Neurospora crassa OR74A: one gene and its partner. The protein of the gene in region 1 interacts with the protein of each later gene in a pairwise test. Links are inferred from orthologs where the notes say so. Each region holds a gene or a part of one and is shown on either strand. Other genes may lie near its edges.

The links. The genes of interacting proteins can lie anywhere in the genome.
Region 2: the proteins of cr-1 (region 1) and gna-3 interact in binary tests that used the Saccharomyces cerevisiae proteins (3 or more experiments, as listed by UniProt). The link is inferred for Neurospora crassa OR74A from reciprocal best matches to the Saccharomyces cerevisiae genes CYR1 and GPA2.

The regions. Positions count from the first base shown.
Region 1 is NC_026501.1:5,569,865-5,576,154, forward strand, and holds the start of cr-1 (adenylate cyclase), read right to left. Parts: upstream 3,994-6,290; 5' UTR 3,519-3,993; coding exon 3,268-3,518; intron 3,034-3,267; coding exon 1,992-3,033; intron 1,626-1,991; exon of another isoform or gene 1,585-1,625; coding exon of another isoform or gene 1,576-1,584; intron 1,300-1,575; coding exon 1-1,299.
Region 2 is NC_026504.1:5,750,654-5,756,695, forward strand, and holds gna-3 (G-protein alpha subunit), read right to left. Parts: upstream 4,077-6,042; 5' UTR 2,960-4,076; coding exon 2,827-2,959; intron 2,768-2,826; coding exon 2,419-2,767; intron 2,332-2,418; coding exon 2,203-2,331; intron 2,143-2,202; coding exon 2,013-2,142; intron 1,957-2,012; coding exon 1,718-1,956; intron 1,658-1,717; coding exon 1,558-1,657; 3' UTR 600-1,557; downstream 1-599. Other genes in the region: NCU16898 (hypothetical protein), read right to left, coding at 1-295. UniProt on the Saccharomyces cerevisiae protein: Alpha subunit of the heterotrimeric guanine nucleotide-binding protein (G protein) involved in glucose-induced cAMP signaling.

The DNA.
Region 1 (6,290 bases):
GTTGATGTCAGGTGAGAGCAAATGCATGTCGGCTTCCTTCTCCTTGAGGAAGACCCATCGACAAATGTAACTGTTATCTTCGCGACCGATTTCGTCAATGCCATCCTTTTCTTGATAACCTATCTGCTGAAAGAGTCGTTTTTGGATTCTCAAGGGTTGTTCGGCGCTATTCAAGACCCTGAACAAATCGTGCTTCTTGATAAGGAGAGAGTAGCTGTCCTGAGCACCCGGAGGGAGATAAGTCTTTTTCGCCACACCCATGATAACATCCTCAGCTGTCGCAGTCAAGGGCAGGGTGAGCGTAGTCCAGGTGCTATCTGACCTAAAGACACGAATGTAATAATTGCTTTTCTTCTCCTTTTCCTCGCTAGGTTGACGTGAGCACAAGTCTTCATTTACCTGAGGGGCGAGAGACTTTTTGTTGTCGCGCACTGCCCAACTGTCCGGGGCAGCCCATGCGCCCTCCGGATCTGTCGTGATCGGGACAATCATCTTTTCTGATTCGCGTCGCATTGATATGCTGTTGTCCAAGGGGGTCATGGGTTGAGGCTTGGTCAAAATTCCCTCCATATCATTAAGGTTCGTATCGAGATGATAGACGGTTCCACCTCCCATGTGCATGTCAGTGGGCCCAATGTCCTCGTCCATGTCATCTTGGGGCTGTTTGGCCGAGCTCGATTTCTTAGAGGTAAAGAGTTTCGTGGTGAACCCCGGCGCCGTCGTCTGGCGCACATAGCCAGGGCGGACAGGGACCTCTCGCTGCTCGCTAGGGTCCGAAACGTAGACGGATGCTGGGTAGGTGGATTCGGCGGCGCGGGTAAGGTCTTGTCTCGACGGGCGGTGTACAAGAGTGTGGTTTGAGCCACTCCGAAGGCTGGAGCCATCTTCCTTGTCTTTGTTGTGCCGGCGGAAGCGACCCAATATGCCCTTTTTGTGCGATGGAGCTGGAGATGATGTTCCGTCGGAAATACTGTTGGCTTTGAGTCCCCGCGACGTCCCTGTCCAACTGGGCGCTGGACTCTGTGCGCGAGATCGGGTGCCCATCATAGAGCTGGAACCGTTGCGAAAATCCCTAGCGAAACTGGCTGCCGAATCCTCCCTGCTAAGCGATGGCTTCAAAGCCCTTGGATCCTCGTTACTCTTGTTGTGTTTATGATGTCCCGGTAGGTGCACGATGGAGTGACCTGACCGGGCGGAAGACGAGGTCTTTGGTGGGTTCTGGGAGCTGTCGATGTAACGATCGCGATCGGGGCCAGTGAGACTTGTTCGAACGGGTGCTTCGCCATAGCGAGCGATGTCCTGTGTTTCATGCAATGGTCAGTTACGGCGACAGAGATCACTCGTGCAATTTGTATAATACGGATTGGTAGGCACGGCAGGCAGGAGGAGTCCAGACTGGAGGATAGCAGCAAAGAGCGGGTTTCTCGGGATTGGAGCAGGGCAACAACGACACCTCACTGGCAGGCTGTCGTTGTCATTGTTGTGTAAAAGATTCCGCAGCCATTGCCTTGGGCTCCTTGTTAATGTGGTTGTTGTGAACTTGAAGACGGAAGATGGCAGGAGGGATCATCTCACCGCCGACATGTTGCAGGAAGCGTCAAACGAGGGTTGCGTTTGGAGCAAAGAATGAGACGGCCGGCGGCCATTGCCAATGTTGATCCCACTGCTACTCATCCAATTCGCGATTCCCAAAAGGGATAGCTCGGGGTGGAGATAGGAAAGAGAAGGCCAGAGATAAGATTTGGCGAGGTGTGGAAATGGGGTCGAAGCGAGGGTAGTAGCTAGTAGGTATAAGTAGCGTAGGGTACCTTTAGTGATACTACTGCTCCTGTATCTCTTACCAAGCTACCACCACAACACTTTACGAGAGAGGGGAGGGAAGAGGGGGGGAGGGGGAGAGCGAAGAGGGGGAAGGGAAGATCGAAAACAGTAAATTACAAAAGAAAACAAAAATAGAGAAAGAGAGAAAGAGAGAGCGAGGCTATACGTACGTCGGCTTCTTGGTACAGAAACGGCACAACTTCGGGCGCAGGCACTGGGGTTCGCGGCCTCGAGGGCACGGGCGAGGCATCCCTATCTCGCCCGCCGACAGTCGAGACGGAGCCAAAGGTGGAGGGATGGTGATCGGTGGCATTGGAGTAGTTGCGGTCCCGGTGCGAGCGACCGCTGCCTGGTAGGCTGTAAGAGTGTGATCGGTGTTCCTTCCCTGTGGACATGGGGCCCGAGTGACTCGGCTGGGGCAGGCTAATTTCCGACGAATCTCGGCCAGGCCAATCGTCCCGATCGCCAAAAAACTGCTGGAGCTTCTGTAGCCCGCCCCGGGTCTTGGAAGTCCGCGACCCTTGGCTGCTCGCCGTCGTCGTGATTGAAGCAATCGACGGCCGCCGCTCATCGTCGTAGTACGCCGAATCCGGAAACTCCATGCTGCCTGCCGACGCCTGCGAAGGCCGTGCCGTCATCGGCCGGATGCCCGGCGATAGCTGCGATATTACCGACAGATTATCCGTAGAGTCATTGAGGAAGCTGCCCATGGACATCCCGCCGCCGTTGTTTCCCCCCAGATACGGTGCGTACTGGCTGAGGTTGCTGAAGGTACCCGAAACTGATCCTGCAGCGTGACCCTGCTGCTGCTGCTGCTGTTGTTGTTGTTGCTGCGGCTGCTGCGGCTGCTGCTGACTGTGCGATGACGTTCGGCTCAATGCGCCGCCTGTGGTGTCCAACATGGCCGCCATTTCACGACGATATCCCCCCAGCTCGCTCATTCTGTGTTCGCGGATAGACGCATTGGATGGTGTAGTGGGCGACTGGGTCAGGCGCGAGCCCCCCGTGGGCGATACTTGTTGCTGTGGTTGTTGCTGTGTCGGCGTCTGCTGCGAGTGGTACTGAGAAGGGGATTGAGACTGCTGGGAATTCAATGACAACTGCGGCTGCGAACATGATTGAAGCGTGGCCTGTGACAGTGAGTGCGACCGCGTCTGCGTATGCGACGGCTGCGACTGGGACTGCGACGACTCGAAATCTCTCGATGACCTGCTGTAGATGGGCGGCCGACGCATGCACCCGTTAGTTTGAACTGCAGGAAAATAGGGCAAGAACAGGCTTGACTTGTAAGAGAAGGGACGGCAAAGAAGAACGGGGTTTCCGGATAGTTGCGGTGACAGGACAGGACTGTGCAAGCAAGACTGGGTAGGTATCCGTATCACAGAACCGCTCGAGAACCACGAAGCCCCCAGGAAACAACAGACTGCGTCGCTCGCTTCAACTCACCTCGCAAATTGGGTGCCGTCATCCGTCTTCAAACGCGTCGGCGCAGGCCTGCGCGCACCCTGTGAGGCGGACCGAGATACATTGTGGCCGCCATTGCTGCTACTGCTGCCCGCTTGCAGCGACGGGGACAGCGGCCGTGTCATCGAGCTGCCCAGGCTGCTGGTCGGCGTCAAGGGAAATGGCTTCGCCGTGATGCTGGATTGTGCGCTGTCGATGGAGCTGTAGCGGGAGCCGCCGTCATTTCTCGTCATTGTCACCGGCGGGAGGCGAGCGGAACAAAGATGCCAACTACCAGGAGACCACAGCCATTCCACGTGAGGATGGGGATGGCCAGTGTTTTCAGGTCATGGCCTTGTCCGATGCTAAGATGGCGGGCGTGTCTTGTGGTGACGAAGAATGCGGACGTTGAATCCCGACAACCCAAGACGTTGCTGGCGTTATGCTGGTGTGTTGTTGAGGTGTTCAGCTGCTATCTCGTGGGTGGCTAGTCCAGGTCCGCGTTTGCCCTCTTTGCTGGGCCGGCAAAGTGGTTCTAATCGTCTCTTGTTAGGTATTTGCAGCGAATGGGAAATGGATCAGATGTCGATGTTCACCAGCAGGTGAGTGGGCGTGGAGGTAGGGCGGTAGGTCACTGGCGTCCGGGTACCAACATGGGTGGGCGGACGGCGGACCAGGGTGGTGGGTGAGATGTGCGCCAAAGATGGCCCACCATCAGAAACTCGACAATTATGTGTCCAGTCCTCATCACTACCTCTAGGTACCCTAGTGGTCGGCATTTGGGGCTCCGACAATAGTGTACTGTGGCAGCGATTGGCCCCATAGCTAAATCTGTACAGGGCCTCAAAAAGAGCAGAGCACTCGGATTTCTTGACCGAGCGGGAGTCGCTACAGCCGTGTGACAGTCTGAGCCCGTGTGTAAGCCGCCCAAGATAAACAAGCCGGGCTGAGTCCGAAAGGTCCCCGGGCGGTGATATTGCCCATTGCAGACATGAGAAGGAAACGGGGGCTGACGAGCAAGTGTGAACATCAGGATAGTTTACACTGTCCCTCTGGTTGTCGGCCACTGCAACTTCTTCAAGTTGGGTTCCAGGACCCCAAGCCTTTCAGGACTGCGAGTTGGTGCTCGGCTGGAGTCCATGCAACCTGACTGCCAGGGCCTCTTCAAAGAAGCGTCCAATCGTTTTTCCAACATGTATTTTATGATGAGTTATCACCTGAAGCCGACGTATTTACATACTTCAGCGACCGAAGCAGACATATGAGGCACGGCATAACCTGCTGCCGGTTCGGGCCTGTATTACCTACAGTCCCATCTGCCATCTCAGTGCACTAGCGGGACCGCCCGAGTTATCTCGGTGACAAAACATAGAAGCTTTTTAGGCTTCCCATCCGTGGCCACAGTGTTTGCATCAGAGAGGTTCCTGTGCGCCAAAGCACCCCGAAATTATAGGTAGGTATCCATGTCAAGTCGGTGTCTGGTGTCAATGTCAGGGCACCCGAACGGATGGTGCGCATATCGGTGAGCCGTACGTAGAGGTAGGGGTACATCGATTCGGAACGGCAAACTTCAGTTGCAGGGGTGGCCAGCCAGCATCAATTCGCTCCGCGTGGGGGTATGCCCGCTCCCTCAGGCTCCGCAACCCTGTCGGTACCTCTAGGTATTTTGTGAACTTGAAGCTCACGATGTTCCTGTTTTGAGATGTCTTACTTGGCGCCCAGAACCCCCCAAGTAGTCTACTATGTAAAATCTGTGAATGTCGCAGTATGAACGACTGAAAGCGCCTGTTTTCTGAACTGCATCTGTAAACACAACCTAACATCTCAACAGCTGCAAGGAACCATGCAATGTGTCGAGGGCCTGAATATGAGAATTGGTCGCCAGGCACGGTACGTACCTTGTGTAGACGGGAGGTACCTTCATGGTCGGGTCGGTCCCCGGACCCCATTAACGTGGGAGGTGCGAGCGTCCGCCGTCGCTCGGTGTCTCTACCCCGTAAAATAAGGGACCTTGCCTTAACATTAGCCCGCGGTTCAAGATACGGGGCTACTAGCTACCCGAACACGTGTAGTGACGGGGTGTCGTTAACCTCTACACTATTTTCCACTCACCTAACCTACACCTGTAACCAACAGAGCGTGCCCCGGCGAGGGATAAAGCACGCTAAAGTTCCAATATCATACCTAGGTAGCTAGGGTATGTAGGCTTTTCGTCGTTAGATAGGTAGATACCTAGCGGGACTGCATCTCCAATTCCACAATCTGCCCCCATCCCATTTTTCGTCGAGTTTCCATGTTATTCATCTCATCAACGAACTGGAAGGTTGCTTACATGAAGCCAAGAAATAGAGCCGATCTGGAGCTTTACGCCTAGTTCATGGACAACTTGATTTTCCCTCCACAAAGAGAGGGGGAGCTTTTCGATTGAGCTGGCATGCCGTGATTCGATCTGAGGATAAAACCCGATGAATGGGTTCCCTCCCTGGGTCTCGCCACAGAGAGCGCGTCGTTCGTCGGAATGGGTCTACTTGAGCACAGGGTAGGCCGCTAGTCCCTCGCTTTTTTTGTTCCTTCTAGAGGAAGACAGCTGTGAGGGGTAGGGGTAAGTATGAAGCTGTGAGAGATTACATGGATGTCAAGTTAGGTGCCGTTTGGATAAAGAGCAGCTCAAATGTATGCCCTCAAATACAACTCGGCGTAAAACGAGTTGGCAATGACTCGGAACAGCTACCGAGTTTGGAAGAAACAAAGTCGGACCGCCTGAAGTTTGCATGGGGCTGATAGTTCGCGACAGCTAACGTTCGCAGGGCATGGTTTGAAGAGTTGTAGCTCCGTCTAGTTTCATAATTGGTAGTGCCGCAATCGCGGAACAGTGAATCTGATTTGTGACTTCGCACGTTTCTATCCTGAAACAAATGGAAACCTCTACAAACAGACGTGGTTTCCTTCTAAATCCCTTCCAACCAGCAACTTACATGGCAACCCGGAACAAACCAACAATGTTTGGTGAAGGAAAAGGGGGCTTT
Region 2 (6,042 bases), on another chromosome or scaffold:
CACCGGCAAGATAAAGACTTGAGCTCTGTGTTGTCGGTGACATGGCAACATTCGGCTCGGGAGTTGAGCCATGAAGCGGGAGGCTCCCCGATACGGAAACCAGGCTGCCTCTTGTCTCCGTTTTTTCGAGAGAAACTTGGGAACCTCCAGACAAAGATGCCTGCGAGTACGTGCAAGCTAGTCCTCGTAGCGTGCATCGGCTACATGATGTTGCCTTGCGATCGCATTTCGCTTTGGCGTTGGAGCATGGTTGGCATGATTTTTGCCGTGATGTCGAGTATCTCGTAGTCTTCATGTATGGTACCTAGGTAGGTAGACGGTAAAAGAAGGAGTAGCGAGGTGTATGAGTGGTAGCATCTTCAACTTATAGGGGCCGTGCCGTGCTTCTCCACGTGTCCGGTTCCACCGGGGCGATCACATCTTCCTTCCGCGATTAGGAGAGCGAACGGGATCCCGAGTTTTCCAGTGGCTATAGGTAGCCGTATGTGTTTCTTTATTTGCTTTCAACCACTTTAAACTGTCTGTCTGTCTCTCCGTCCGTCCGTCGAGTTCCTATTCTATACCGACGGACGACGTGCCAAGATACTACTGCTAGCAAACTGCCAGCGCTTTTCGTATGTCTCAGATGCAGCATCTCTATTCCACTTGATAATCATCTCATTAATAAGGTAAAAAAAGAGCACCCTTGTTTGTTCCAAGAGACCTTTACTTTCATCAGATAGGTATCCTGCGTGAGTCTCTTTGTGACGAACAAACAGTAGTTTTGTCTCCTACTCTCTCTCTCTCTCTATCTGCCTCCCACTACTACCAGAGACAGTTAACGAAATCGTGAACATCATGGCTTCTTCTCCTTCTTTGCGCCCACCTTCCCATCTCTTGGATGGGCCTGGGGATACCTCGGACCGCATTTCAATGCAGGATCCAAAACCTCACTGGGAGGCGAACAATGTTCCCTTTTCAACTCCCTGGCTTTCTACTAGCTCAGACATCTTTCTTGTTTTGCCATGCATCTCCCCATGAGAGTACAGTGACACCTTTTGAGGACAATGTCTCTTCTCCACCTTCCGTTTTCTTGTAAATGCGGTTGAAAAGGAATGTACAAAAAAAAAAAGAGAAAGCAAGGACCTGCTCAGTCGATCCAGTCGCCGCCGTGAAGAAGAAAAAAAAAAGATGCTCCTATGCTGTTCTGCGTCGGCGCAAAACAAACAAAATGGTGCGTAAACAAGATTACAATAAGTTCCGTTTGGTAGGGTATGGTTGATGGCGCTGCCTGTCGCTCAGATGAATGCATGCTAATGGAAAAGAGAAACCAATGGGAAGCAAAAGCAAACCTCAGGTTGGCAACGTTCCAAACGCGCGTGAACCCTAAGATATGATAAGAAACAACAACCGCCGCCTCCGTTGCTGTCACCGCCGTGCTTTTGCTAGCCGGCTAGCCGGACAGCTACCACCCCTTTAAAACGCCGAGTCATGCAAGAAGGGAGGACTTGGTAATATTCCGAACGCTGTTGCGAGAAAGAGGAAGAAGATGCGTGAGCGAAAAAAAAGGGTCTTTCATCATAGAATACCGGAGTCTTTAAGGGCGTTATTGAGAATGGTTTCCTTGACGGCAGCAAACACGAGACGGATGTTGGAGGTATCGGTGGCTTGTGTCAAGCTGTGACAATGTTAGCATGATGGTGCATACACCAAGACAGGACAGATGGAGCGGACATACTGAGGATATAGGTTAAGGTGAGCCCTGTTAACCTGGTTAAACCGCCACAATAGATACTTGGCGGCCTTGTTGACGTCGTTTCCACCGGAATAATCCGGGAAATAGTTCCCTAGAGGTGACCGCCCCAGTTTCTGCTTGAAGATGTCGACCTTGTTGAGAAACAGGATGATACTCGTTCTCATAAACCACCGTGAATTGACGACCGAATCGAAGAGCAGCAGACTCTCCATCATGCGGTTCTGTTACATGTTAGCACCATCTCTGTACCAGGGGGTGACGTGGTTGGTGGACATACCTGACTGCTCTCCTCGAGCAATACTTGGTCGTACTCGCTCAGGGCAACACAGAAGATGATGGATGTGACGTTTTCGAAGCAGTGAATCCACTTCTTGCGTTCACTACGTTGCCCGCCCACATCAAACATGCTAGATCATTGTGTGAGCTGAGGGGCACGAGGGTAACAGATGTCTATCAGGCACACTTACTGGATACTGAGCTGCCCCATCTTGAATCTTGTCTCGTAGATACCCGTCGTCTTTGTTCTGGCGCGAAGTACATCCATTTCATTTGGTCGGTAGTCTTCGGCCACAATCCTCATGACCTCGGTGAAGAAACTGTGCAAGTCAGCGAACGTGAGCTCCTATGGAGAAGAAGAAAAAAAAAAAAAAAAGAAAAAAAAAGAAAAAAAACCGGACACGCACTATTCTGCAGAGTCCATAAGATAGAACTCTGTTTGCCTCTCCATGAGTTGCTCCTTTGCTGGATCATTCCATAGTGCCTGGATAGCTGTGCCGACTTTGGGGTCTATCGACTGTCCTGGTGGACACCCCTCCATGTTGTAGTCCTGCAAGAACTCGACGTAGGGCCGTAGCGACGGATCTGCTGGCTGGATATCAAACTGGTGCATAGCATTCACAACCGCCTTTGCGCATTCCAACAGATTCTTGTAGACGGTTGGTCGGTAATTTGTGAGCTCCTCATCTGAATAGCCCTTGAGATGTATGATCTTCATCTGCTTCACAATGGTCGATTTACCGCTCTCGCCGGAGCCTGTACGCGCACGCATGTTAGCAAAAACGTTTTTAGCGAAGGACAACAGGGGTACGCACCCAAAAGTAGAATCTTGCATTCTTTCCGTAGCTTCTTGGAGTCCTCCTCTAGGTCGCGATCGATCTTCTGGCTCCTCTTCTTCTGCTCCGTCTCCTCGTCGTTCTTGCTCATGCATGCGCCCATCTTGATCATCAATCCCTTTCGACTGCGGTGGCTAGATGAGGCAGCCGATGATGGCCGGGAACTTGGACCTGGCGGATAAGAAGATGCTCGTCTGTTCACGGGTCTGTTCTAGAAAACCATGAAGACGACTTTTTTTCCTGGCGAATGTTTGGTGTGATGTGCAGTTCAGCTTCGTCGCTCGAATAACCCTTCCTCGGCCTTTACTTTTGTCGACCAGGGGCAGACTTGTTCGTCGTCGTCGTCCGTCAATCGCCTTCCTTGTAGCTGGAATCCCCGGAAATGGGCGACGAGAAAAATACGGGTTCAAGATGATTTGGTCGACTGACGCAATTGATGGGCAGTTTTGTAAGGTTGACTTTGGCGACTTGTGTGTTCGGTGGGAGGCTCTCCAAGTAAGTCGACACAACAGGGACCACGGGTGGTTGGATTTGGTTGTGACGTCTTGAGTGGATGCAGTCCGAATCGTTTGGATGGATCGTTAGCCGTTCGTCGCCTCTCTCTCTCGCTGGTTGGCAGTCTTTCTTTGGCTGGCAGTCGCCGATTCCGACAGTCAGTTGGTTGGCGTGCACGCGCGCCGTCGGTAAACGGTTTCGAAAGGGTCGGCGACAAAGAAAATCGACGGACGCCGCAATGGATTGAAAGGCGAGATGGGTTGTTGGTTGGTTGGTTGTAGTGGTGTCGGGAATAATTGACGGACGGGAGGTAGGTAAGGCCAAAAGGTGAGGTAGAGGTGAATTGGCAGGCAGGCAGGCAGGCAGCCAGTATACCTTTTGTTAAGTTTTGCGGGACGGAGGAGATGGATGGGGGGGCCCAGGTCGGGATGCCCAGGTCGGGATGCCCAGGTCGCGACAAAAAACGGGGGGGTGCTGGGGTCACTGTACTGGACACTATGCCCTCACTGGATCCCCGAGTGTTCCAGGTTGCCCGGCGGCCAGTAAAGCAAAGTGGTCCGGGTTCGTGTTATTGTCACCGACTACCCGGTCTAAAATGCGCAGATCCAGCGCCTTTGTCAATACGATGGTGAATTGCTAGGGCAGGCCGCTTTAAGCGAGTTGACGCCAGTCAAAGTGGAAGGATTGGATGCCTTGACACTTGTGCTGTCGGGTTTGGATCGATGGGTTTCAAGTTCGCTGCAGACTGCAGTACATACCTCTAGGCAAGGTACTTACAGTGTGGAAGTCCCTGCGTGGATACAGACGAAGCAGCGAGGTGCCCGGATGCTGGAAGGAAGAAAAGTCGAAAATCGGGAGATGAGGCAGTGAAAACCGACGAAGGAGGAAAAGCAAATACTAGGTAATGATGGAAGGCAGCCGTACTGTAGCACCGACTGGTGACTGCAGTGAGCAAAGCGACGGCCGACAAACGCTGGATTGGCTGGAAAGGCTCATTTGGTTTGGAACTGCGGAAGGCTTGAAGAGGCCAAGAGGCAAGGGAGCCAATGAGGAGCATTGTTGGGTGGTGCGGCAGTTGAACGGCAGATCCACCACTCTCCTCCACTCAGCTTCACTTCTCAGGGCAGGGCAGTGAGTGCAGCCCTCCTGACGAAAGCCTAGGTACACTAGAGGTAGGTATGCTAAGCCGCAATTGTGCTAGCACTTCGCACGCTTGCTTAAACAAGTGAGTGTCACCAGCACAGGGCTAATTACCTGAATGAAACAGCACTACACTATTATAGGACCTTGTGTCTACATAAATCCCAGCGCTGTTGGGGAAAATACTTGGAGGCCAAAGTGGAAGGCAGGCCTTTTGTTATTGGATGTAATTCCGAGGTGTCGCCAAGACATAGTGGGGGCAGCGAGCTCCGCCTGGCGTAAGCCCCGCTAGACCCTATACGGTATTCTGGCAACAGCTACTCGTCTCCTCGTTGGATGAGGGGAAAGGCGCCAATGTCTGGAAGGAGCCGCTAGAAGAGGAGTGCAGGAGCCACATCTTCGGGAGTCAGCTCCACCGGTTATAAAAACCACCAGTCCCCTTCGTTGCGCTCTGAACACTGCCGATCTCACTCCACTGCCCATTAAATCCTTAGCGTGAACCATGACAGTGACCCCGACGACGACGACGACGAGGACGAGGACGACTACAACGAACGTACCGTGCCAGTCTGTGACCCGGCGATATTACTGATTTCCTGATCGATACCCGAATCTAATTCTTGGGTCACGCAAGAGTGTCCACCATGGGTCTCGCCTTGTCAGGTCATAGCTAGGTACCTAGCTGTGGCTACCTCTACATATTGAGTTGGGGTCCGTTCCCTTGGGGGCTTTCTTCTTCAGCTCTGCCACGAGGCGACAGGCATGGAAGATGACTTGAGGCAGGTAAAGGGGCGCCGAGTGGTTCTCGGCCGTGTCTCGCAACTCAATGCGCCGGGTTTTATGTATCATGAACTTTCACCTTGCCCCCTACGCCGCCTCCGCCCCCGAGAACAGACAGTCAGACATGACCGTGACGACATTCATGTCTCAACTGACTCTCTACAAACACTTGGCAGATCAATACCAGGATGCAAAAAGACCGGCGTCCTCATAGCTGCTTTTTACTCTCTTGGCGGTTGACCGTTTGCAGGCAAAGCAATGATTGTCGACGGTTGTCAATCTTGAGAAAATCTGCGTCTAGTGTCCGATCAAAAGCCACAATTGGACGGCACCAAGGCCCAGCTGGTCCAGCTTGTTACGGAGCCGATGGGCAAAACATCCACTTTCCGAATAGCCTCCAGTTTCTCTCCTCGTTGCTCCCATTGCCTGAAGCACCTCACCATTTTCGTGCCTTTTCCGCCGTCAGCTCACTCATATTAATCAGTGCCTACGGTACTACACTGTCCCCATGGGACCTTTTTGCTCTTCAACTTATATCCGCCGCGAGATGGTGTCCAAGCTGTCTGTCCAAGGTCCCCCAATGACAAGTCCCGCTGTTGATTGAGATGGCCCGTGCACCCCGCTCCTTGGGGAAACGGTTGGCGGGTGTAAGGTCAAGGAAAAGTGGATCGGTTGGAGATTACTGAACTCCTCTTTGCTTCCCAGAAGGAGCTCCGTACTCGGCGGTTTTCCTCCCTTCTCCCATCACAAAAACTCAAGTCTTCATCCTCGACTCCTCAC